Ovis aries: one gene and its partners. The protein of the gene in region 1 interacts with the protein of each later gene in a pairwise test. Links are inferred from orthologs where the notes say so. Each region holds a gene or a part of one and is shown in the gene's direction. Other genes may lie near its edges.

What was found. The genes of interacting proteins can lie anywhere in the genome.
Region 2: the proteins of AMOTL2 (region 1) and BRMS1L interact in binary tests that used the Homo sapiens proteins (3 or more experiments, as listed by UniProt). The two-hybrid records come from large-scale screens. The link is inferred for Ovis aries from reciprocal best matches to the Homo sapiens genes AMOTL2 and BRMS1L.
Region 3: the proteins of AMOTL2 (region 1) and NFIL3 interact in binary tests that used the Homo sapiens proteins (3 or more experiments, as listed by UniProt). The two-hybrid records come from large-scale screens. The link is inferred for Ovis aries from reciprocal best matches to the Homo sapiens genes AMOTL2 and NFIL3.

The regions. Positions count from the first base shown.
Region 1 is NC_056054.1:255,606,003-255,613,723, forward strand, and holds part of AMOTL2 (angiomotin-like protein 2), read left to right. Parts: intron 1-1,961; 5' UTR 1,962-2,022; coding exon 2,023-2,759; intron 2,760-5,396; coding exon 5,397-5,682; intron 5,683-6,760; coding exon 6,761-6,905; intron 6,906-7,277; coding exon 7,278-7,370; intron 7,371-7,721. UniProt on the Homo sapiens protein: Regulates the translocation of phosphorylated SRC to peripheral cell-matrix adhesion sites. Required for proper architecture of actin filaments.
Region 2 is NC_056071.1:43,746,166-43,754,612, forward strand, and holds the start of BRMS1L (breast cancer metastasis-suppressor 1-like protein), read left to right. Parts: upstream 1-3,125; 5' UTR 3,126-3,252; coding exon 3,253-3,394; intron 3,395-6,904; exon of another isoform or gene 6,905-6,907; coding exon 6,908-6,998; intron 6,999-8,046; exon of another isoform or gene 8,047-8,139; coding exon of another isoform or gene 8,140-8,167; intron 8,168-8,447. UniProt on the Homo sapiens protein: Involved in the histone deacetylase (HDAC1)-dependent transcriptional repression activity. When overexpressed in lung cancer cell line that lacks p53/TP53 expression, inhibits cell growth.
Region 3 is NC_056055.1:26,456,614-26,464,080, reverse strand, and holds NFIL3 (nuclear factor interleukin-3-regulated protein), read left to right. Parts: upstream 1-3,056; coding exon 3,057-4,445; downstream 4,446-7,467.

The DNA.
Region 1 (7,721 bases):
TCGCGGGCGCGGATTTTAGTAACAGCTTAGCTGTGTCCATCTGAGAGATCTGACTGAGACAAACAAGGAATGAAAGGCGCGGGAAGTGCTCCCTGCTCCCAGGCACACTGTTGGGGGAGGAGGAGGGCTGGAATCTGTCCGGAAAACTGCATTCCCCGGTCCTCGGCTGGAGTCAGCCCAGACAGTGTTTAACTTAGGAAATGCCCCGTGGATGAAACGCTAGGGCGAATTGATTCCTGTTTGTTTTGCCTCGGGTAACTCTAGAGTCTTGCATCTTCTGTGTGTGTGCGCGCGCGCCCCGTATATGTGTGTGCCCCCTGTGTGTATGTGTGCGCCCCCTGTGTGTATGTGTGTGTGTGGCGGGGGCGGGGGGATAGGGGGGATGATGTGGTCCGGGAAGTCTGAACACCGAGATGTCCTCTAGACCTATCTCTCCCCAGTTCTGGGCAGCTGGGAGGAGGGAGTGGGTTGGGAATGGCTGCTCTGCCAGCCAGCCAAGCCCTAACTGGAGCCGGGCATTGGGGCTAGCTCTGTGGCAAAGGAGGGGCCACATTCCTCCCACTGTCCTCCTATATACACAGGACCTGTGGAGGTGTGGGTTTTGTTTGGTCTTCCCTGAATCCCAGTTTGGAGGTTTGTGTTGGAGAAGGCTGGGGAAAGGAATCCAGGTGAGGCGGGCAGCCTTCCAGGCCATGGGCCACTGGGAGCACAGACTCAGAAGGGAACACCTTCCTCAGGAGACAATCTCCCTGCAGAGTCACCAGCCCCGGGTGCCCGCAGCTCCCGCACTCCTTCAGTCAACTCAAGCAGTCTTACCCATGTAGAGATGCTGAGTGCCCATCCCCTCGTACCTAGAGGACCAGCAGGCGCTTCCAAGGAGCAAGTGTGTGTGTGGCTGGGGTGGTGATCATAAAATCAGAGACACCGTGCCAGCCTTTCTTTTTCCTGGAGCACGTGTGCGCTCACTGTCAGTGCACAGACTGTGTGCCTGGCCCACAAACCTTGATGAGCGGCACCTTTTTGCCTCCTTTTGCAAAACCACTCTTGGTGTAGTCTGTCTCATCTTTCATCCCTTATTCACCGATCCAGATGCATTTTCTCCTTCCTGTTCACCTTGCAGAGTGACTGCCAAGGTCATCCCATGACAGAGAGGGCTCTGCAGGGTAAAGGGTTGTGAGTTAGCTGTGCCAAGGCCATGGTTCAGGCATGCTTCGTGCTGTGGGGGCTGTTTGCCTAGGGCTTCTACCGGGCTGGTGTGTGCATGCGTGCATGCTCAGTTGTGTCCAGTTCTTTGCAACCCTGTGGACTGTAGCCCACCAGGCTCCTCTGTCCCTGGGATTTTTCAGGCAAGGATACTGGAGTGGGTTGCCATTTCCTACTCCAGGGAATCTGCCTAACTCAGGAATCCATCCCATGTCTCTTGTGTCTCCTGCATTAGCAGGTAGATTCTTTACCACATCTACTGGGCGGGACTCATGCTTTATCACCTGTGATAAAGTAGAGGTGGCGCAGTGGTAAAATACCTGCCTGCTAATGCAGGAGACACAAGAGCTTAGTGTTTAAAGCTGAACTAGGCCTGCCCTGGACTTTCTCATCAGGTTCTCTGATGGGAAGCTGACTATAGGAGCCTAAGGTTCCTGGTGTCTAGGTTCCTGGTATCTCTCTCTAGGCACAGTAAGCCTCCATGAATATGATTATAATGGCAGTCCTTTGCCAAGGATTTACAGCTCACTGGGAGCTCAATAGCCATTGCCTCTTAATTCTCAACTCCATGAAGCTAGCATTATTTCCCTATTTCCGATGGAGAAACTGAGGCTCAAAGGTTAGATGACTTTCCTGAATCAGCAGGTGGCAGCACTGGCAGTCTGACGGGCATGTGTGCCCCTTCATCAGACAGTAGTGGAAAGTCCCCACTTTTCCCATGTGCTCCCACTGAGTGCTCTTCTTTTTCTCCTCCTCAGGTGCCCTGGGGCCAGGTGCCACTGGCCTTTGTCCAGGTGGGTGTGTGCAAGCCCGGGGAGCATGAGGACGCTGGAAGACTCCTCAGGTACGGTCCTGCACCGCCTCATCCAGGAACAGCTGCGCTATGGCAACCTGACTGAGACCCGCACACTGCTGGCCATCCAGCAACAGGCCCTGCGTGGTGGGGCCGGGGCTGGGGGCACAGGAAGCCCCCAGGCCCCCATGGAGATCATGGCACCAGAGGACAGTCAGGTGCTGCAGCAGGCCACGAGGCAGGAACCCCAGGGCCAGGAGCACCAGGGCACCGAGACCCACCTGGCAGAGAACGGCCTCTACCGCCTGTGCCCGCAGCCTGGCAAGGGCGAGGAGCTGCCCACCTATGAGGAGGCCAAAGCCCACTCACAGTACTATGCCTCCCAGCAGGCGGGGCCCTGGCCACACGTGGGGGACCGGGATCCCCGCGGGCCCCCGGGAGGCAGCCGGAGGCAGGATGAGGCCCTGCGTGAGCTGAGGCACGGGCACGTGCGCTCCCTGAGCGAGCGACTCCTGCAGCTGTCCCTGGAGAGGAACGGGGCCCGCACCCCCAGCCACATGAGTGCCTCTCACAGCTTCCCCCAGCTGGCCCGCAACCAGCAGGGCCCCCCAGCCAGGGGCGCCCCCACTGCCGAGGGCCCGGAGCCACGAGGACCTCCACCTCAGTACCCACACGTCATGCTAGCTCACGAGACCACCTCTGCCGTCACTGACCCGCGGTACCGTGCCCGTGGCAGTCCACACTTCCAGCATGCGGAAGTCAGGTAACTGCCCACTTCGGTCTTCAGGCTCTTGGCTTCCTTCCAGTGTAGTTTTCCCAGGGTGAAGAGCCTCCAGGAGGCTGGTGAGCTCCAGAGGAAGGCTGATGATACCCTCTCTGTCCCAAGATGGGAGCTAATGCTGGAAGGAAAGAGGGATTTAGCTAGGGTCACATGAGAACTTAGCAGCATCCCTTGCTTTAATTGGCTGTAGCCTTCAAGTAACTAGGGTTCTCAGGGGCTGTCAATTAGAGCAGGGAGCTAAAGGTTAGATTTCAGAAAGAACTTGCAAGGACTACAGTTGGGAATCTTTCCCAAGTTAAGTGGGAAGAAGGTGAGACCTCCTCTGGAAGCTTCTAAAAACAGAAGAAGTCTTTTCTTCCTTGCTGTCCATGATTTTTGGGAGGCATTCCTCAGTGGGGGCAAGAAAGAAAGGACCAGATGGCCTCCGTAGAGATCTCTCCTCCCCTACACAGGGGTGGGAGCTGCCCTGGAACTGCCATTCATTTCCGTTCATGTTCTTCTGTGTGGTCCATGGGGCAGGAGCCTGGGAGAAGGTTCTTGTTCCAGAAGCCCCTTTATGTGGAGGCTCCAGAGTAGCTGCGGGGGAGGGGTGGTGGGGGGACTCAGCTTTTAATTCTGAGAGCAAAGGGAAGCCTTTAGAGGATGTGATTTGGCATCCCTTTTCAAAAAGGTTCCTCTGTTTCTTGTAGAGAATGGATTCTAGGGGCATGAATGGAAGCAGGGATGCCCAGGAGGGGCAGGAAGCCCAGAGAGTTTTCAGAAATAAGGTTCCTAGAAATGAGGCTCTCGTTTGGCCCAGGACCTTCTCCTGAGAAGCTGGCACACGCCCTTTTCACACGCCCTTAATTCCCCCCCACCCCCCACCCCACACACAGGGGTCCAGGAAACCCCAGTGGAGGGGCCTGAAGGCTTGCAGGCCCCCTTCCTCTGGTGCCCCAAGGTTCAAGTCTGGTTTTCTTCGTGCCTGCTGAGTCCTCATTTAGTCACCTGCTTTGCCACGGTGCAACCTTGCCCGGGAAAGATGCCTTTCTCTGCTCTCGAGAAATGAGTGACGTGATGGCTCTGGAATGGAGGCGCCAGAGGACTGAGCCTGTGGGGTTTTGCCAGCCTCAAGGCCCCCCTGCCTTACCTCCCTTCTCAGGGCTTGGTCCTGGAAGAGTTTCAGAAGCTGAGTCGTAGTTTCTTCTTTGGACCATGCTCACTGAGCCCTGTCAGGAAAAGATAATGTCGTGGAAAGGAAGTCGACTGTTTGCTGGAGAACAAAAAAAGTGGGGGAGTGGGGGGTGGGGAGCAAGTGTGAAGGAAAGGAGGCTCTATTCTCTCGGAGAGCCCAGTCATCCCCAAAGAATGCCATTTGTGTCTGCCTGGCTGGGAGCAGGGGAGCCGGTTGGAGGGAGCCACATTCAGCAGCGCAGGGGGAGTTTGCATATTCCAGTGGGGTACCCTCTCAGCTCTCACTGGAAGCTCTACCTTGGACAGGAAACGAAATACATCTGCCAGCTTCTCCTTCAGCCAATCTGGTGAAGACTGTTTGCTGGGAACTGGCAGTGGGACTTAGCCTTGGGTCTAAGAAGAGCAGGGGAGCTCGAGTCTGGAAGGGGAAGGATGAGGGCACAGGCAGGCATGGGTTCTGAGGCGATGGATTCGTCTGCAGCTTCTGGGACTTGGGAAAGCTCCTGGTGAAACTGAGGCAGTCTAATTCTCTTACATCAGAGCCACAGGGCCCCAGAAAAGCTGTGTGACCCCATATGCTTGACGGTGGGACCTTGAGGGTGAAGACCTTGACACGGGACCCCAGTATCAGAGGCCAGGAGAACACTGTCCCTAACCTCAGGCTATTGTAATAGTTAACAGGTGGTCCCTTCACCCTGGATAATCCACTGTTTGGGTCACATTTACTCTCTGAGCAGAGAGTAGGCTGTGGTCTCCACGAGAAGAGACAGAGGGTAGGCTGTCACTGTGGAGATGCCCACTGCAGGCCCAGCACTCTGCCAGGCAGATGTGGCCTGACAACCTGCCTGAGGCTAGAGACTCTCACCCTCCGGGCTGAGCATGGGCCCGTGCACCATGGCCTCAAACACTGGAGCCAGAATTTGAATGCCTGATCTGTCAGACTGGAGCCCAGACTCAGGCTGACATCTGTCTCACCACTCTAACCTTAGCCACAGTCTTCTAAAAATGTTTCTTCAAGGGGTGACGGGACTCAAAATAGGAGGGAGAAGAGGCGAGTGTGCTGCGTGGGCAGGTGTGCATGGAGGGCCTGACACCAGCAATGAGAACAGACACAGGGTAGCTGCTGGGGCCCAAGGGCCTGGAAGGTTGTGAGTTTCAGTCATGATGAGCGTGACCTCCAGATTCAAAAAGAGCTGCCTATGGCTGGGACCATTCAGGCTGATCCCCAAGGCCTGGACCACAGGAGGCTGGGCATGAAATACGTGTGCTGACGGTAATGCCCTGCAGCCCTGCTTCCCTGGCCCTTGAAGGTCTTGGGGACACCATGTGGAAAGGCCTTGCCTAGAGGTTACTGCCTAACGCTGCAGGAAAGCGGTCTGCCTGGGAGGACTAGGGCAATTCTTTGTGGCTCCGTGGTCTCTGAGGACCGTCCCTTCTGTTCCCCAGGATCCTGCAGGCCCAGGTGCCCCCTGTGTTCCTCTCGCAGCAGCAGCAGCAGTACCAATACTTGCAGCAGCCTCAGGAGCGCCACCCGCCCCCACACCTGGCCGCCCTCAGCCCTCCTGGGGTGGAGGGCCCGGCAAGCACCCAGGCCTCTTTGGCCACCTCAGGCGGTGCCCACCTGGCCCAGATGGAGACTGTGCTAAGGGAGAACGCCAGGCTGCAGAGAGACAATGAGAGATTGCAGAGGGAGCTGGAGAGCACGGTGGAGAAGGCTGGCCGCATCGAGAAGGTGAGCCCTGCTGAGGCCTCAGAGAAGCAGCAGGGGGCAATAAGGGAACCCCAACAGGGCTGACCAGGGAGGGGGCTGTCAGAAGGGAAGCAGAGGAGTCTAAAAGCTGGTCTGGCTGGGCTTCTCAGCTGCCCCTGGGGGACCCCCCCCCCCCATCCCTCCTGCACCCTTCCCTGGCTGACTCCAGACAGCTGGGGAGCAGCCGGCAGAGCAGGCCCAGAGCACGAGCAGTTGCTGCCCAGTGGTGGTTAGAAAGAGCCCATTCACCGACTCCCTCAGGGTCTCACCCTTTCCCTGCACACGCCCCCTCCCGTGGACACCTCCCACAGAGAGCCCTTTGTATCCCCCACACAACAGCAAGTCTGTTCCAGGCCAGCCCTGGTCACAGAGAAAGCCCCTCCTCTTGGCAAAAAACGAGCGACTTATTGGAATCATGGGCCAGCTAGGAGCACGTGCAGAACCTGCCAGCTGCCAAGTGGGTGGGGCATCCGGGGCCAGGCTGGCCCTGTTGGGGGATGGCTGGAGAGGCACATACTCCAGGCAGCTCAGGCTGGCTCCGGTGCTGAGCTCTGAGTGAAGGGGCACCAGCCGTGCACTCAGCCTTAGCAGGTAGCCTTAGGCTTTCTGTGACTGTGCGTGGTCTCCAAGATAGGTCCACCCCCACAGACCACAGTTGGAGCCTCAGTGCCTGATCCTGGTCCATTGTGCTCAAATTTCTCACTAGAAGCCAAAGAAAAGGAAAATGCTTCTTTCTGGACACTAGGCACCAGGGAGCTGCCCTCAGTCACCCTGGATGCAGCTCCTTTCAGAGAACGTGGCCTTGTGTTCACTCAGCACCTTGGGACAGTTGAAGGGACCCTGGCTTGCCTGTTCCAGCAGTCTGATCCCTCTCTGGAGGCCACAGGCTGCAGCCTGTCCCTCTCAGGCTAGGTGGGTTTCCGCTGTGGCTTTGTCTCTTCTCTCTCACCCTTTCTGATGGAGAGTCAGCAATCAACCCTGGCCTAAGGAGGGGACATTGATCCCATTGCCACCCTGGGAGCTCTCCCCTTCCTTCAGCTCTGCTCTCTGCCTCTTGCAGCTGGAGAGCGAAATCCAGCGGCTCTCCGAGGCCCACGAGAGCCTAACAAGGGCCTCTTCCAAGCGAGAGGCCCTGGAGAAGACCATGCGGAACAAAATGGACAGTGAGATGAGGCGGCTGCAGGACTTCAACCGGGATCTTAGAGGTGAGGACCGCTCACGCAGGTGGAGGGACAGGGACCACCTATGGACAGCTTGATTCCACTGTTCTAGGACATCATTCAGAATCTCTTGCCTCTGCGAAAACAGTACAAATCAGTTCAAAGGGGACTCGGCTGAGACTCCTTGGGGGCCACCTCGATAGAGAGATGCTTGTCTCTGTGTTCTAGACCTTGGGGCCCCTCCTGGAGCTCTCCCCCGTGTGGCCCAGGGTGACCCAGGGCTTCCCTATGAGCCCACCCCCAGCTTGGAGAATGTAGCCTGACAGACAGTTCCCTGGGGAGGGGTGCACCTTGGCAGGCAGCTTCACCTGCGCTCAAACCTTTTTCCTTAAAACGTCTTTTCTTCATTTGAAACAGAAAGATTAGAATCTGCAAACCGCCGCCTGGCAAGCAAGACGCAGGAGGCCCAGGCAGGCAGTCAGGACATGGTGGCCAAGCTGCTGGCTCAGAGTAAGTAGGGGACCCACGCAGGAGCCCAAGCAGAGGTGTGGCTGGTGGAACCAGGAGAGCTCCTCTTGAGGGAGGGTTGGCCTCCTCTGCCAAAGCAGGGCTTGGAGTGTGGGTTTACTGAATGCCCACTATGCACCCATCACTGGACTGGACTCGGGAGGGGCGGCTTCCCAAGGGGAGCAGGATCTGGTTCCCTGTGTACTGGGAAGATCAGGGGTAGAGAGACAGCTGGGGAGGTGTGCTGAGCGTCAGTTCGGTGTCCTCTAGAAGCAGCTGAGGAGAGCCGAGCACTCTGGAAACAGGTGGGATGAGAAAGAAGGAAGAGTCTGAGTCTCCCAGGGCGTGGACGTG
Region 2 (8,447 bases), on another chromosome or scaffold:
TCTCCCATTATTTTGTCTGCCTTAAACATAAATACATCAATGACAGGAATTTTAGAGCTTGACAAGAACATAAAGATAACATAATGCAACCTTCTCACTTTACAACTGACCAGAGAGTGTAAGTTCAGTTCAGTTCAGTCACTCAGTCGTGTCCGACTCTGCGACCCCATGAATTGCAGCACACCAGGCCTCCCTGTCCATCACCAACTCCCGGAGTTCACTCAGACTCACGTCCATCGAGTGAGTCAGTCCATCCAGCCATCTCATCCTCTGTCGTCCCCTTCTCCTCCTGCCCCCAATCCCTCCCAGCATCAGAGTCTTTTCCAATGAGTCAACTCTTTGCATGACGTGGCCAAAGTACTGGAGTTTCAGCTTTAGCATCATTAAGAATGGATTGGCTGGATCTCCCTGCAGTCCAAGGGACTCTCAAGAGTCTTCTCCAACACCACAGTTCAAAAGCATCAATTCTTCAGCGCTCAGCCTTCTTCACAGTCCAACTCTCACATCCATACATGACCACAGGAAAAACCATAGCCTTAACTTGGACCTTAGTCAGCAAAGTAATGTCTCTGCTTTTGAATATGCTATTTAGGTTGGTCATAACTTTTCTTCCAAGGAGTAAGTGTCTTTTAATTTCATGGCTGCAGTCACCATCTTCAGTGATTTTGGAGCCCCCCAAAATAAAGTCTGACACTATGATTTGCCAAATTGTCTTGCCTGGTTACTAGCAGAACCAGGGCTAGAATCCATGCCTCCTCTCCAATTTCCTTCTGTTTTTCTCTAAACAGCAGAAACACAGAAATCATCTGCTAGAGGGACATTGTGTACTGACAGTTGACTGCAGGCTCTGAGGTCAGACTACTGAAGTTCAGATCTTAAATCTGCTACTTATTAGCTGTGTGACCTTGGTCAAGCATCCTAACTGCTTTGTGCTTCAGTTTCTCCATCTACAAAATGGAAGGCATAATTATATCTACTTCATAGAGTTGTTATAATGATTAAATGAATTAATGTCCTTAAAGCACATACTGTGCTTGGAACATGAAGAGTGACCAGAAATTCAAGTTAGTGTTACTATTTAGCACATACTCTGCTAGCTGCTGATATAACAGAGATTAACAGAAGCCACAGATATTACTCACAGCTGTTTTTGTTTGGTCTGGAGTTTAATAAACCAAACCAAACCAAAGTAACAGCAAAAAATGCACTTGAAATAATGTTTACAAATCTGGTTATTTCACGTAAAGTTCTAAATTTCCAGTTTCTCTTGAAAATCAGAAGGTCTGACATCTAGTCCCAAATTCAGATGTAGCAACAACTGGCTGGAGCTAAAAGCAGCTACCCAGCTTTAGTCCACACCACTCACATGATGTATTCACATGCTTGCCTCTGAAACTGCATCCCAGGCTAAGACAATCCCTGTTCTCAAGGAATTCACAATCCAATAGGCAAGATGCATCTGCTAAACAACCCACAACAAACAAGTACAACATTGCCAAGCACTAATCTGAAGGAACAGGGGCATGTACTGAATGGTGGAGGAGTTGCTGGTGATGAATGTTGTCAAGAAAGTGGCTTTGAAAAACAGGAGTGCAAGAGGGTTGCAGAGAAATAGGATACACAAAGAACATTGAAATGGCCAACAGTTCGTCTGTTTCTCAACTGATGAGTCCAGTTTCGAGACTACAATAAGAAAAGGACAAGTAGGCTGACACTAGATAATAAAAGCCCCTTAACTTGGATTTCAGCCAAGAGATGGATGGCCCTTGAGATGTTTTCTGTCATTGAATTCTAAATCTAACTTTAATGCATGTATGCTTGGATACTCTTACATTCTCTGTCAAATGTCTTTGGACCTTGTATTTGAGAAAGAAATAATTTAAAACCCACGATATTGTATGAAATCTCTTTCAATAGCAAATTGCCACTTCAGGAAGAAGCCTTGTTTTTATAATTGATAAAATACAGTTTTTAGTTTTGTCTGCAAGTAGTTTCCTTATCTGTAAAATGGGTATAATAGCACCTAACTCAGGGCTAATAAATTGGGAATTCAACTCAATGTAAGTAATGTAAAGAACTTACTAGGGTATCTGATACAGAGTAAAAGTGGTCAATTAGTATGTTGTTATGATTAGGATATATAATGAGTTTTCCTTGTCTATCATCCCTACCATTGAAAAAATAAAACATTTCATTAAGTCAAATATGTATTTTTCATTTAAAACTTTAGTTAAGATTGGAGGCATTTTCAGGGCGCGTATGGTAAACTGGAACTGTGTTAGTCACTCAGCTGTGTCCAACTCTTTCTCACTCCATGGACTGTAGCCCACCAGGCTGCCCTGTCCGTGGAATGCTCCAGGCAAGAATACTGGAGTTGATAGCCATTCCCTTCTCCAGGGGATCTTCCCGACCCAGGGATCAAACCTGGTCTCCTTCATTGCAGGCAGATTCTTTACCGTCTGAGCCACCAGGGAAACCCGCATATGGTTAAAAAAAAAAAAAATGTAAAACGTACTAGAGAAAAGTGCCAAGATAAAGCTTCCTTTCCTTTCATATTGCAAAAGTTTCAATAATAATTTAAAGATTTTTGTGCAACATAGAAAATGCAAGTTGTCCGCAGAAACTAATTCAACAATAGTTTAATAGTGGTAATAAAAGTGCTTAGGTAAAGACATTTCTCCAGTTCCTGTAGCCTTAAAGAGGAGGAAAAGCCCTCAGGCAAAAGACCTTTTCACATCTGACAGTAACATCCTGGATGGCCTGGAAGCTCAGACAAGCACTTGGCGGGAAAAGAAAACATACAGACCAAAATCTCACAATCTGTTTCTGTTTAGTTTATAAACTGCGACCGAGTCTGGCAGCTTTCGTGCCTTGTGGGATTTGAAGTCCAGAGGGGAGAAACGATCAGGGTAGTTGAAGCTTCGAAGCCGGCGGCCCCTGCAGGTCTGAACAGTAAGGACTACAATTCCCGACACACACCGCGAGGCCGCGCCGTAATTACCGGCAACCAACCGGACCGGAGCAGGATTAGCTCCATCCCCCGGCTCGGGAGGACTGCCTCCACCAATGGCAGAGCTCTCACCGCTGAGCCTGCGGGTTAGGTTGTGAGGCTCCGGCGGGGGCGGGGAGGAGCCGAGGGGGTTCTGAACGAGCTCGGCGGCGGGGTGGGTCGGGGCGTTCGGCGCGCCCTTCATTGAAGCGGCGGTGGCCGGGCTGGGCGCCGGGAGTGGGAAGCGACGGCGCGGCTGGAAAATGCCAGTCCATTCCCGAGGGGATAAGAAGGAGACGAACCATCACGATGAGATGGAGGTGGACTACGCCGAAAACGAGGGGAGCAGCTCCGAGGACGAAGACACCGAGAGCTCGTCGGTCTCCGAGGATGGAGATAGCTCAGGTACGAGACCCAGCGGGCTGGGACCCCGAGTCCTCGCGCCAGGCTAGCGAAAGGCCGCTCTCCACACGCCGGCAGCTGCGTCCTGCTGGGAGAGCGGGGCGGGGAGAGAGGGAAGGGGCGGAGACTGGCTCCCGGCCCTCCGTGGCACCCAAACTGTTCGCGGGGCGCTGCCCAGCTCCTGGCGGGTCCCGGTTGGCGGGGCGGAGCGGGGCAGGGCGCGGGCCTGGACTCGTCCAGCTCACGGACGCTGCTTGGTTCTGTTCTCGATCCGCCCCGCCCTTGGGACCTCCGGGTAGTGCCTCGGGCTATCCGGAGCGGAAAATGTCCCGCATCTTATCTGGGAGACGCTAGAAATGCCTCCTCTCCCCACACCGCCGACTTCTTATTTTTGCACCTTTGCAGCCCTTCTCAGCGTGTGTGGGTTGTCAGGAGCCGAGGGTACTCGCTCTTGGCTGGTTTAGAATTTATTAATGTCAGCTTCCAAGTCAGCGTGTCAGTCAGTAGTTGACATTCGTCCTCTTTCGGGGGGCTGACGTGGGAGCTGGGTCATCTGCATCATTTCTGTGAACTTTTCAAGACTGAGAAGAAGAGCCCAACATCAGGACTGATTTTAGATCTTCATATGCTTATCAATAACTGGCTGATTTTGGCAGCTTTGAAGTTCTCCAAATCTTTTCTTCCCTTCAGTCTTTTCTAACTTTGTGCTGTTTCAGATTTTTTTGTTTGTTTATTTGTTTTTGTTTTCTGTTTTGAAGGGAGTGGGATGGGGTAGAGTGGCGGGGGGTGGGGGGAGCAGGTTAACACCATAAAGCATTTTTTGCAGTCTTTTAGGAGTGGTTATTTTAAAAAGAGATGAAATTTATGATTACCTGGGTTCCTTTCCTTCTATCCATACGACGAAGATGAGACTTATTTCTTTGTTTTGGCCTGATTTTGGCTATGTGAAGCAAGGATTGATGACAGGTTAACAACAGCCTATCATCACCATGACACTCTCTTTTTTTAGGCTTCCCTTTCAAAGAAAACCTCCGTGGAAGTATGTAATTTAAGTCAATAAATCAGCCACCCCGAATAAGTGTTTCTGAGTGACTTCCTTTTGCAGTATTGGGTTCTACTCAGTGGATGGTATAAATAGTTATGATCTGACCACAATTAAACAGCTGTCATAGGTCACCACTTGAATCAATTGCCAAATGAACGCTTATTTATAAACAATGCTGTAGAATTTGAGAGGTAGAGGACATCTTTTCAGTACAGGATGGTCAGCCAAAGCTAGTGGGATTACCTAATTATCTTGAGGAATGGGCGGAATTTGGATTGGAGTGGTAAAGTTCAGGTGTTTCTATAGAAGAAGGAATATAAGAAAAAGTGCAAGGCGAGAGCTTAAGCCTTATTTAGAAGAGTGAGAAAACCAGTTTGGTTGGGAGAAGGATTTGAGCTAGAAAAGGAAAAGATATAGGTGTTAAAGACTTCAGAAAAAGCAGAAAGTGGGATTGATGACTACCAGTTTAGGAGTCGATGTAAGAAGAAAAACCCAAATACAAAGAGAATGGTGGTCGTTTGAACAAAAATAGAAAAAAAAAGATTTGAGATGAAGATAGAAGATAAAGTATTACAGACATGTTGTTTTTGAGGTCCTGATGGTGTATTTGAGTCAGAGTGCCCAACTGACAGGTGGTAATGTGGCATTGGAACTTGCCTGGGATGGGAAGTATAATTTGGAACTCATCTGCTTAGTCATGAAAATAGGTGAGATTTCAAAAGTGAGGATTACAGAGAACATCTCTACTATATGTGAGTATGTTTTCTGGATCTGTAAAACATTTTATTTTCACATGTTCTTTGTTTTTGTTTTTATGGGAGTCAGGATCTTTCAAAATGACATTTACTAAAATTCTGCCTTTCTAATTTTTATGTTGATCCTTGTGGGCTTTTGTTTTTAACTGTCTTTTGTTCTATCCCCCCAAATAATGGACACATTAATTTATGAAGAATATGATAATAACTTGAAGCACAAGTCAGATTTTTTAAGCACAAAGAAATTAAATAGATTTTCCAGTTGCATGTTGCTTTTGTATCTCTTTTCTACCATTTATCTTGCATGTTAAACTCCCACAGTTTTATTCCTCTCCAGCCTTGGTACTGGGCCAGTCTTAAGGCTACAGAAAAATTCCATCCAGAGATATTAGGGAGTGAGTCATCTTGAGGGACCACATTTTAAAGAGTCAAGGAATAAGCTCTTAAGAGCCAGAGATAATTTTAATCTGTTTCAGAAAAGTTAAAAAAAAAATCATACTTTCTTGCTGTAGAAAGTAACTGGACATAATTTAATTTTTTCTCATATTTTGACCTTTATTTGATGATGATCAATACAAATATCATTTTGTGCTTAAGTTATTCTGATGTTGTCAACTATATGTGATGTATTGATAAAAACAGACAATGTGAAATATAGGAGAGAGCTGGTAGCTATCAGTTGTTTTCCTTGAAAAGTTTGCTTGTCTTCCTCCTTCCGCTTTCTCACTGACTGACAGAAATTTGGGGAGAGGGAACAGTGGTAGCCTAAAAGTAGGAAACCAAGATACTCTGTGGTAAACATAATGAGATTAATTTTCTTTTTTTATTTGACTTGCAAATTATCTGTGTGAGCATTCCATAAGTGGAATTCCATAAGTGGAATTCCATAAGTATTCTTGAGCAATATTAACCTTTAAAGGACATAATCATTTTGGTGCTTAAGTTCTGGTGAGTTGGTGGAAAACAAGCTGAAAGTGGATTAATTACTTTATAGTCATAGTTTAAGGTCAACCTTTCTCTTTTTGGCCGTGCTACAGCATGTGGGAACTTAGTTCCTTGACCAGGGATCGAACCTGTGCCCCTTACAAGTGGGAGCACCATCTTAACCACCGGACCCCTGCCCCATCAGCCCTTTAATAAAATGATTTAAGAATGAATAAAGAGGCTTCCCTGGTGACTCAGTGATAAAGAATCTGCCTGCCGATGCAGGAGACACGTTTAATCCCTGATCTGGGAAGATCCCACATGCCAGGAAGCAACTGAGCCTATGCACCACAACTGTTGAGACTATGCTCTAGAGCCCAGGAACTGTAACTACGTAGCCTGAGAGCTGCATCTGTTGAAGTCCGGGCGCCATGGAGCCTGTGCTCTGAATCAAGAGAAGCTGCCACAGTGAAAAGCCCGTGTGCGCAACCAGAGAGTAGCCTCCACTCATTACAGTTAGAGAAAGGCCCGCACAGCAACAAAGACCCAGCACAGCCAAAAATAAATACATAAAATTATTTTAAAAAGCGGATAAAATTAAGAATGTCTAGCGACTGTTTTAACTCTTATCTGTATTTTACATTAAATCTACAGTGGAAATTATTTTTGATAAATGTTTAAGTCCTAATGTAGTTTTTCTGTTTTTTTTTTCTTTAACCATTTGAATTAACCTTCAGATGTATTTGGAACATAACATTAGTTTTAGCTTTGATATTTGCATTTTATTAACAGAAATGGATGATGAAGACTGTGAAAGAAGAAGAATGGAATGTTTAGATGAAATGTCCAATCTTGAAAAACAGTTTACCGATCTCAAGGATCAGTAAGTAGTAATTTCTGAAGGTCACTGTTACTGAATCTCAACCTTGTCACATGTATACTAGCATGAGAGAAATTATATTCATTCTAAACTATTTTCCTTTTTGTTTTTTATGGGACTGACTGACCTGAAAAAGGCTTCAACTCTTGTTTTCCTGTTGAAGGCCTCATTAACTAATCAAGGGTTTTGAGGCTGGTTTTGGGGGGGATTTAATGAGATTTTTATGTGGGTATTGGTTATGAAAGTGTTTTCCTTGGATTGCTGTACCCTTGGTTCTAATACGCTTGATTCATTCTTTTGTTAAATAACTGGATAAAGATAAGATTTTTTAAAAAGTTTGAGAATAAGAGTTATTTCCCAGAGATGGCATGGTGATTTTTATTTATATCTTAACATTGGATAATGTATACATTGCATGTTTTCACATGCATTGTTTAGTTTGCTTCTCTGTAAGGTTGGAAGATAGTTTTGTCTCTCATTTGCGCTTGAGAAGATTGATGCTCACAGAGGTTAAGTGATTTGTTCATAGTTTATCAGAAGGTGATAAATTAAGCTAGGCTTTGCCTCTTAGGTGCTATCATGTTCCTTCCACTAAGGCACATTACTTTGGAGGAATCGTAGTGGAATCACAGGCCCTGAATCCAGGCTTTCTTGACAGATTTTAAAAATATAATAATAGATTCTTTACTATCTACTGTAAAGATTGAATGAGCAGTATATAAAATTCTCAGCCATGTGTCTGGCATGTAGTATGTGTTTATAGATACTGTTTTTTCCCCCTCTTTATAATGCCAGAACTCTTATGTAAAGTTGGTAATGCACGAAGGGGCTCCAGTGATTGGAGAGAATAGAATAGATGCAGATTTTAAAGACATCTGAAAGGTGAACGTTCAGTGTAAGGTCATGGGGCATGATATACTATAGGAAACGTAAATGAAAGGGAGAAACCTTTGAGCCCATAGATAGCTTAACTTATTCAGAAGCTGCCTCTTCAGTTTATGGATTCTTTGTGATTTTGCTGCTTATTCTCTTTCTCCTACTTCTTCCCTAGAGAGGCCCAAAGAAGAGATGAAAGCCCATTTAATATCTGGAATTGCCAGCCTGAAATAAGACAGATTTCGTTACCAGATGAATCCTGCTGTTTATGCCATTTCTGGTGTTAACTTTCATTGGTATTAGTGATAAATATATAGATAATGTTCTATGCTAGTGTGACAAATTGATATAAGCAATCCAAAATAATCCATAGTGTAAAATTTTGCCTTTAAAAAGCATGATGCTTTCAATGCTAAAGATTTACATTGTTAATTTGAAGTTAAAATTAGTTTGGATTCCCAAGAATCCATTGTTTGGGCAACACAGAGAGTTCATTCAGTTCATTTGGGATCATTCTGGAAAAGAGGAAGCAAATTTGTATTTTAGCATAAGAAATCCATGAACGAGTGATTCTTA
Region 3 (7,467 bases), on another chromosome or scaffold:
CCCTTGATTCTTGGGAGTTTGATTCTTCTTTCCATCTTTATCTGCCCCAAGTCTGGCTCAGTGCCAGATATACAGTAGGTGCTCCATATCTGTTGCATAAGACAAGTAATGAATAAGAGAAGTTCTCTCTTAATAAGTAAAACAAACTTTTTTATAATTTATGTAATAATATCAAATTTAAAAGAATGTATCAGCAAGTTTTTGTTACAAAGCTCTCTTACAGAAGGCAAATAAGTGTCAGTCAAATGACGAGCACCTAAGAGGTTCAGTTTGTTGCTAGGATACAAATATATTAATTTGCTCCCTGAACTAATCGGTATTCTAGTTGGGCATACAAAACAAACATGTAGGAAGATAAACATTGTACAAAATCAGCACCTCTCTCTATAGTATCTTGAACTGCTAATAAATTCTTTTCAACACAGCAAAGTTATTTGATAAATATTATAGAAAATACCCTTATGTAGTATGTGGTGATTTGCTGGTGGAATCATAGAGGCAGTTACTATGTGCAGATGAGGGAAGAATCCAGATTCTAGTATACCTAGTGAAATTGAAATTGGAAGAAGATTAACTGAAAAGAAATGAGATTTTTCTGCAGGTTTTGAACATACCAAACAAAGTTATAGAGATGAAAAAGTGGACATACAGTACTTAGACACATAGAAGTGGGTTAAGAGATTTTAGAATAAGTGAGATATTTTTGTTAAACAGAAGTAGGATTATTTTCTCTATGTGGTGTGGCAAGGGCTGCCTGCCTGCCCTCACTCACACTAGACTCAGCGTGATTCTTTGGAACAAGAGATTGAAATCAGAGTCTCAACTCACTCAACATAGGTTTGAAATGATGAAACGGATATGAAATGATGAAAGAACAAAAAGTTTAGAAAGAGTAATACAGACAAAATGGTGGGGCATTTCAAAAGCGTAACTGTAACAATTCATAGGTTAGATGAAATGTAGAAGGAATTTAATTTTTTTCCAAGGAAAGGATAAATTTAAAAATGCATGGAAGAGAAAGATTGTCAAGTGAAAACAATACTTAGAATCATAGTGTACAAGGAAATAAATAGTAGTACCTGGGGGTACAGTGGAGATTTGAAATGCATCTTGGAAAACTTCAATATAGTTACCTTCCTGGAGTTGGAATTTTTACTCTTGCTTCAGCATTCATTTGATTTTAGTGGGGAGGACTTAACAGATTTAAGAAATACAAATTATTGACAGAAGAAAATAATCCATCCAGTATGTAGACGGAAAAGGAGTTTTCATGTCAGACCAAGAAATGTTAAGTGCAAATATAGGAAGTAGTGTTGTTTACTAAAGTGATAACTAGGAAGCTCCCTTTCTCACACCATCACTGCCTGCTGTGGCAGACTTGTTGCCTTCATTTCCCACTAAAAGATATTATCAAAGACAAACAGAAGCTCAGTATTCATAACCATTAAGTTTTGCTGAATTGCAACTCACTGTTTGCATTGGCTCAGTTTGATGGACGAAAATGTGGCATTAAACCTTATCCTTGATGATCCTGAAGTGATTACATCATTCCTTCTATTCCTTCTTGAAAAGACACAAGAAGCTGGCAGGCTTTTCCAACTGATAAAATTAAACTTCATTAGTCAATATAAAACTATGCACAAGAAAGAAATAGGGACATGAAAACATTAAATCTTTCTAATGGGGCAGAGAGAGTGCTATATACAGATAGTGCTGAATAAACAGTTTTTTACCATATCTCCTTCATGAAAGTATAACCTACTGGAAAACGAGGCAGAGAAACCCTGTCCAGAAACACAGATCCGAAACCACCATGAAAAGATTGTTATTGGAGCCTAATATGGATTTATTATCTCCTGTCAGGCCAAATTCAGATTATAAATTTGTCATCAGTGGAAAAGGAAGCTAGTTGATAGTCCTGTTTTCGAGTTCTTATATCTTGTTTGAAACTAATTGGTAAAATGGAAAGAAATTCTTTCCATAATTAAATGCTCTCAGTTTAAAATAATTTTAAGTTTCAAGAAGGCACTGTACTTAAAAAAAAAATCCCTTTGAATAGCAACCATTTGTTTTAGTCTGAAACTACTATATCAGTGAAATCTATTATGACAGAATTATCGGGATCAAAAAAGGCATTGTAGATGCTACAACTTTAAGTGAATGTTTGATAAATGAATTTGAGGGAACCAGGGGGGAGTAAAGCATTTTCTCCTAGCACAAATGTGTCAAAGAGACAGCTTTATTGAGAAGAGTCCTTTTCAGGTGTGCTGAGTCACTTGGCAGAATGACCGTGACATAAACCACATAAGAATTAAACAACTACAACTCAGTTGTTTGTGTGACTTTTATTTTTGTTTCTGTGGAAATAAAAATCTAGCTCCATTTCTGTTTTCCATATAATTACAGAATCTGTCTACTGACATTAAAAGGTTTTCTTGGAAAAGTTCCTTTTATGAGGTGAACTGGTTTGCTTGGCAGTCATATAAATGCTATCTAAAGGTATTCAGAAGCCCCACAAGATGCAAGTACTATTTAAAAATGTACTAACCAGAGGCGATCTGTCATTTCCTTCCTGTAATGTCCTATCCCCACATGCCCCACCCCACTGTTTTTTCTCCTGAAACACAGCCGCCTTCTATTTCTCCCCAGGGCAGATCTGTTCTTTTTTCTCACTCCCCTGGACCACATATTCCCCTGCTGACAGTTCTCAGTGGGGACTTGTCCTTTACAGTATAGGTATTTGGGTACTTACTTTCTTTTCAAACTTGTAAACTCTTTGAAGGACAGAACTATTGCCCCTCAATGCTTCATGTAGTTTCTTGTACACAGCTGGTAATAAATATTTACCAAATAGATAACTATTTCTCTTCGTGTATTGCAGGTCATCTAGAAGACCCCTACTTCATTCAGCAAGAGGAGCGGGAGAGATTTATTCTGGATGGTAGAACAAAAGGAAGAATATTGATGGATTTTAAACTGCAGTTTTTAAAGCACTTGAGAATACTGAGGAAATAACTTCTTCTCCTGCACTGCATATATACGTTAAGGTGCAGCTGATGCAGCTGAGAAAAATGCAGAGCATCAAGAAGGAGCAGGCATCTCTTGATGCTGGTACCAGTGTGGACAAGATGATGGTGCTTAATTCTGCCTTGACCGAAGTCTCCGAAGACTTGACGACAGGGGAAGAACTCCTTCTCAGTGAAGGAAGTGTGGGGAAAAACAAGTCCTCAGCATGTCGGAGGAAACGGGAATTCATTCCCGACGAGAAGAAAGATGCCATGTATTGGGAAAAGCGGCGGAAAAATAACGAAGCTGCCAAGAGGTCCCGGGAGAAACGTCGACTGAATGACCTGGTTTTGGAGAACAAACTCATTGCACTGGGAGAAGAAAACGCCACTTTAAAAGCTGAACTGCTTTCCCTAAAATTAAAGTTTGGTTTAATTAGCTCAACAGCCTACGCCCAGGAGATTCAGAAACTCAGTAATTCTACAGCTGTGTACTTTCAAGACTACCAGACTTCCAAATCCACTGTGAGCGCCTTTGTGGATGAGCATGAGCCCTCGATGGTGGCCAGCAGTTGCATTTCTGTCATCAAGCACTCTCCTCAGAGTTCTCTGTCTGATGTTTCAGAAGTATCCTCGCTAGAACATTCACAGGAGGGCCCTGTGCAGAGTGGCTGCAGAAGCCCAGAAAGCAAGTTCCAGGTCATCAAGCAAGAGCCAATGGAACTGGAGAGCTATGCCAGGGAACCCAGAGATGACCGGGGTGCCTACCGAGGGGCCGTGTATCAGAACTACATGGGGAATTCCTTTCCCGGATACTCGCACTCTCCCCCTCTGCTGCAGGTCAACCGGTCCTCCAGTAACTCTCCGAGGACATCGGAAACTGATGAAGGTGCAGTAGGAAAGTCATCCGATGGAGAAGATGAGCAGCAGGTTCCCAAGGGCCCGATCCACTCTCCCGTCGAACTTCAGCGTGTCCACGCCACAGTGGTTAAAGTTCCAGAAGTGAATTCCTCTGCCTTGCCACACAAGCTTCGGATTAAAGGCAAAGCCATGCAGATAAAAGTGGAAGCCTTCGATCATGAGTTTGAGGGCACACAAAAACTTTCCTCTCCTGTTGACATGACGTCGAAGAGACATTTCGAACTCGAGAAGCATACCACCCCCAACCTGGTACATTCTTCTCTCACTCCCTTTTCAGTCCAAGTGACTAACATTCAAGATTGGTCTCTCAAATCTGAACACTGGCATCAAAAAGAACTTAATGGCAAAATTCAGAGTAGTTTCAAAACTGGAGTGGTGGAAGTGAAAGACAGTGGTTACAAAGTCTCTGACCCAGAGAATTTGTTTCTGAAGCAGGGGATAGCAAACTTGTCTGCAGAGGTGGTCTCACTTAAAAGACTTATAGCCACACACCAAATCTCTGCTTCAGACTCTGGGTAAAATTACTACTGAACAAGCTCTGGGCCTTTAGAGATGTCATTTGCAATAGATGAGTACGTTTTGTATTAGGCTGAATTTTCACTGGACCTGTGATGTCATTTCACTGTATAACATTCACATGTTGTCTGTTGGGTGTCTTTTTGTGCACAAATTATTATGAAGATTAGACTGTGTTATCACTCTGCCTTGTGTATAGTCAAATAGTCCATCGCAAAGGCTGTATATATTGAACGTTATTTTTGTTGTTCTATTATAAAGTGTGTAAGTTACCAGTTTCAATAAAGGATTGGTGACAAACACAGAACTTTTGCTCCATTGCACTTAGTTTTATGGGAAAGAAAGCAATTTAAATAACAAAGTGGATACTGTATTAAGATACTCTGCATTTTACTTATTTGGAAGAGTTTTCTCCCACCTGTAGTAAATGAAAGTCACTCTTTGTGACCCCATGGACTGTAGCCTAACAAGCTCCTCTGTCAGTGGAATTCTCCAGGCCAGAACATTGAAGTGGGTAGCCGTTCCCTTCAGGGGATCGTCCCAACCCAGGGATCGAACCCAGGTCTTCCACACTGCAGGTGGATTCTTTACTGTCTGAGGGAAAACTAAAACATAAGTTCAACACATAATTTTCTTTTTCTAGTTTGGTCCAGGGTATGGTAAGTTTGAAAACCTTCCATAGGAGGAGAGTAGAGAAAAGAGGGTGGGGAATGCATTTTCTTGCATTTGAGCCTAGTAATTTACTAAATTACTCCCTGTTATATATTTTTCTTTAAGGTTTCGTTTTCTATATCCTTTTTGTTTTTAAGTAGAAAAACCCAAGTTGTTTAGCATCAGCATGTCTTTAGTCATCTCTTTTAAGGATGACACATGGAAGTGAATAGTTGAGTCATTGACCCACTTTGTTATTTAGAGGTTCTATTAAAAGAGTGGATTAAAGACTAAGGATGAAGTCATTTTTATGTTATTGTAAATCTTAACAGTTCCAGAGTATAACAGTCTAGGAAATTAACCTAGTGAAATACTGTTTTTACTTAGTTTCCAAAATTTCAAAGAACACATCAATGATCACATTTCATCATATTCAACCTGAATATATGTAATGACTTGGCTTTTTACAGTTTGTTAATGATGACTATAAATAATAGCTCCAGTTTGGAAACTATAATATAGACGTCCAGAAGAAAGCATCATTCTAAGTAAACCAATGACAAGATCATGACTGATGATTGGTCCAGGATCCTCAGTCGTCCCATAGAAGTAAGTGTCCTTAAATACAGACAAGTGTGTCTTCTGTTGCAAGGTGGGACTGGCTTCTGGGTAGGCTGGAAGGGGTGAGTGGATGTTGGTTAACAGCTTCCTCCAGAGCTGTTCTCCTCACCAAAGCCTCTCCAGAACTGTTCCCACGCTGCCTTCTTTTTCATCCTAGAAGTATGTGTGTATGCCGGGGGCATAGGGAGGGGGTCTTGAGGCTTCATAATACATGTGAAGGATGACTTAGCCCTCACTCTGTTACGCATATCTCCCAATTATAACATCCCAGTTTAGAGGGCCCCTGCCCTTTTGACTGCCTGATTTTTAGTATTTTAAACTTCCTACACTTTTACATTTTAAAGAGAGATCCTTTGAGTTAAAGGGAATGCTGGGACACACACACAGGCCATCCACTTTGTCCTCTTGGACACAGTGACCAGTTTGCTCTGAAATCTCCTGACGCCTAGGGAATGTGTTGCCAGTCTCAGCCCTTGGACTTGTCTTTTCAGCACTTTTTAGTGACTGAATGAGGCCCAGAGGGACACCTATATCATCTGCAAATGTTACAGGGCAGAGGAGGGTTAAGATACTGGATGGTAGTCGACATCCAAAAGCATTTCACAGCCTAGAATGGATGGAATGACTATAACAACATGAATCAAAATAGGACAGGGTGTAAAGTCAGGTTCCTGTGTTAAGTGGGAAAACAAAAGGCTGTCCAAGTTCACAACTGGGGAGAAAACAATAACTCCACATGGAAGAAAAAAAGCTCTAGTTCCCTTCAGCACGCCCAGTGGAGTGCTGGGCTGTGTCGCACTCGAGGCTGTGTTACCTCCCCTGTGAATTGCTAACGTTAGCTATTGTGGTAACTATATTGCATCTGGACGCCCCCCTCCCTAGTCATTTTGTCTTATAATTTCAAGCATCTAAGATTCAATGGACATGAGTTTGGTGATGGACAGGGAAGACTGGCATGCTGCAGTCCATGGGGTCCTAAAGAGTTGGACACGACTGAGCGACTGAACTGAAGACATGGCTAGGATATTTAAAATGGTACTTCTTAAGCATAAAGGAGGACAACAAGGACCTATTGTATAGCACATGGAACTCTGCTCAATGTTAACATGGATGGGAGGGGAGTTTGGGGGAGAATGGATGTATGTATATGTATGGATGAGTCCCTTCACTTTTCACCTGAAATTATCACACTGTTAATCAGCTATGTGTTATGCTTAGTCATTCAGTTATGTCAACTCTTTGCGACCCCATGGACTGTAGCAAGCCAGGCTCTGCTGTCCATGGGATTCTCTGGGCAATATTACAGAAGTGGGTTGTCATGCCCTCCTCCAGGGGATCTTCCCAACCCAGGGACTGAACCCAGGTCTCCCACATTACATGGGGAGTTCTTTATCATCTGAGCCACCAGGGAAGGTCAAGAATACTGGAGTGGATAGCCTGTATCTTCTCTAGGGATCTTCCTGACCCAGGAATTGAACCAGAGTCTCCCACATTGCAGGTGGATTCTTTACCAGCTCAGCTACCAGGGAACCCCTAATTGGCTATACCCCAAAACAAAACAAAAAGCTTAAAAAAAATAAAGGTTGAAATAAGGAATTCCAGACTCAACAAGGAACCAAAGAGAGATTAAGTCAGATAACACTGTGATACTTGTGCTCTACAGTGTCAGCTGAGGAAATGCTACCTCTTCTCTGTCCCACTCACAAGGTTCTAATCAGTGGTATAAAATGTGATTAAAGCCAACTGAATCTGT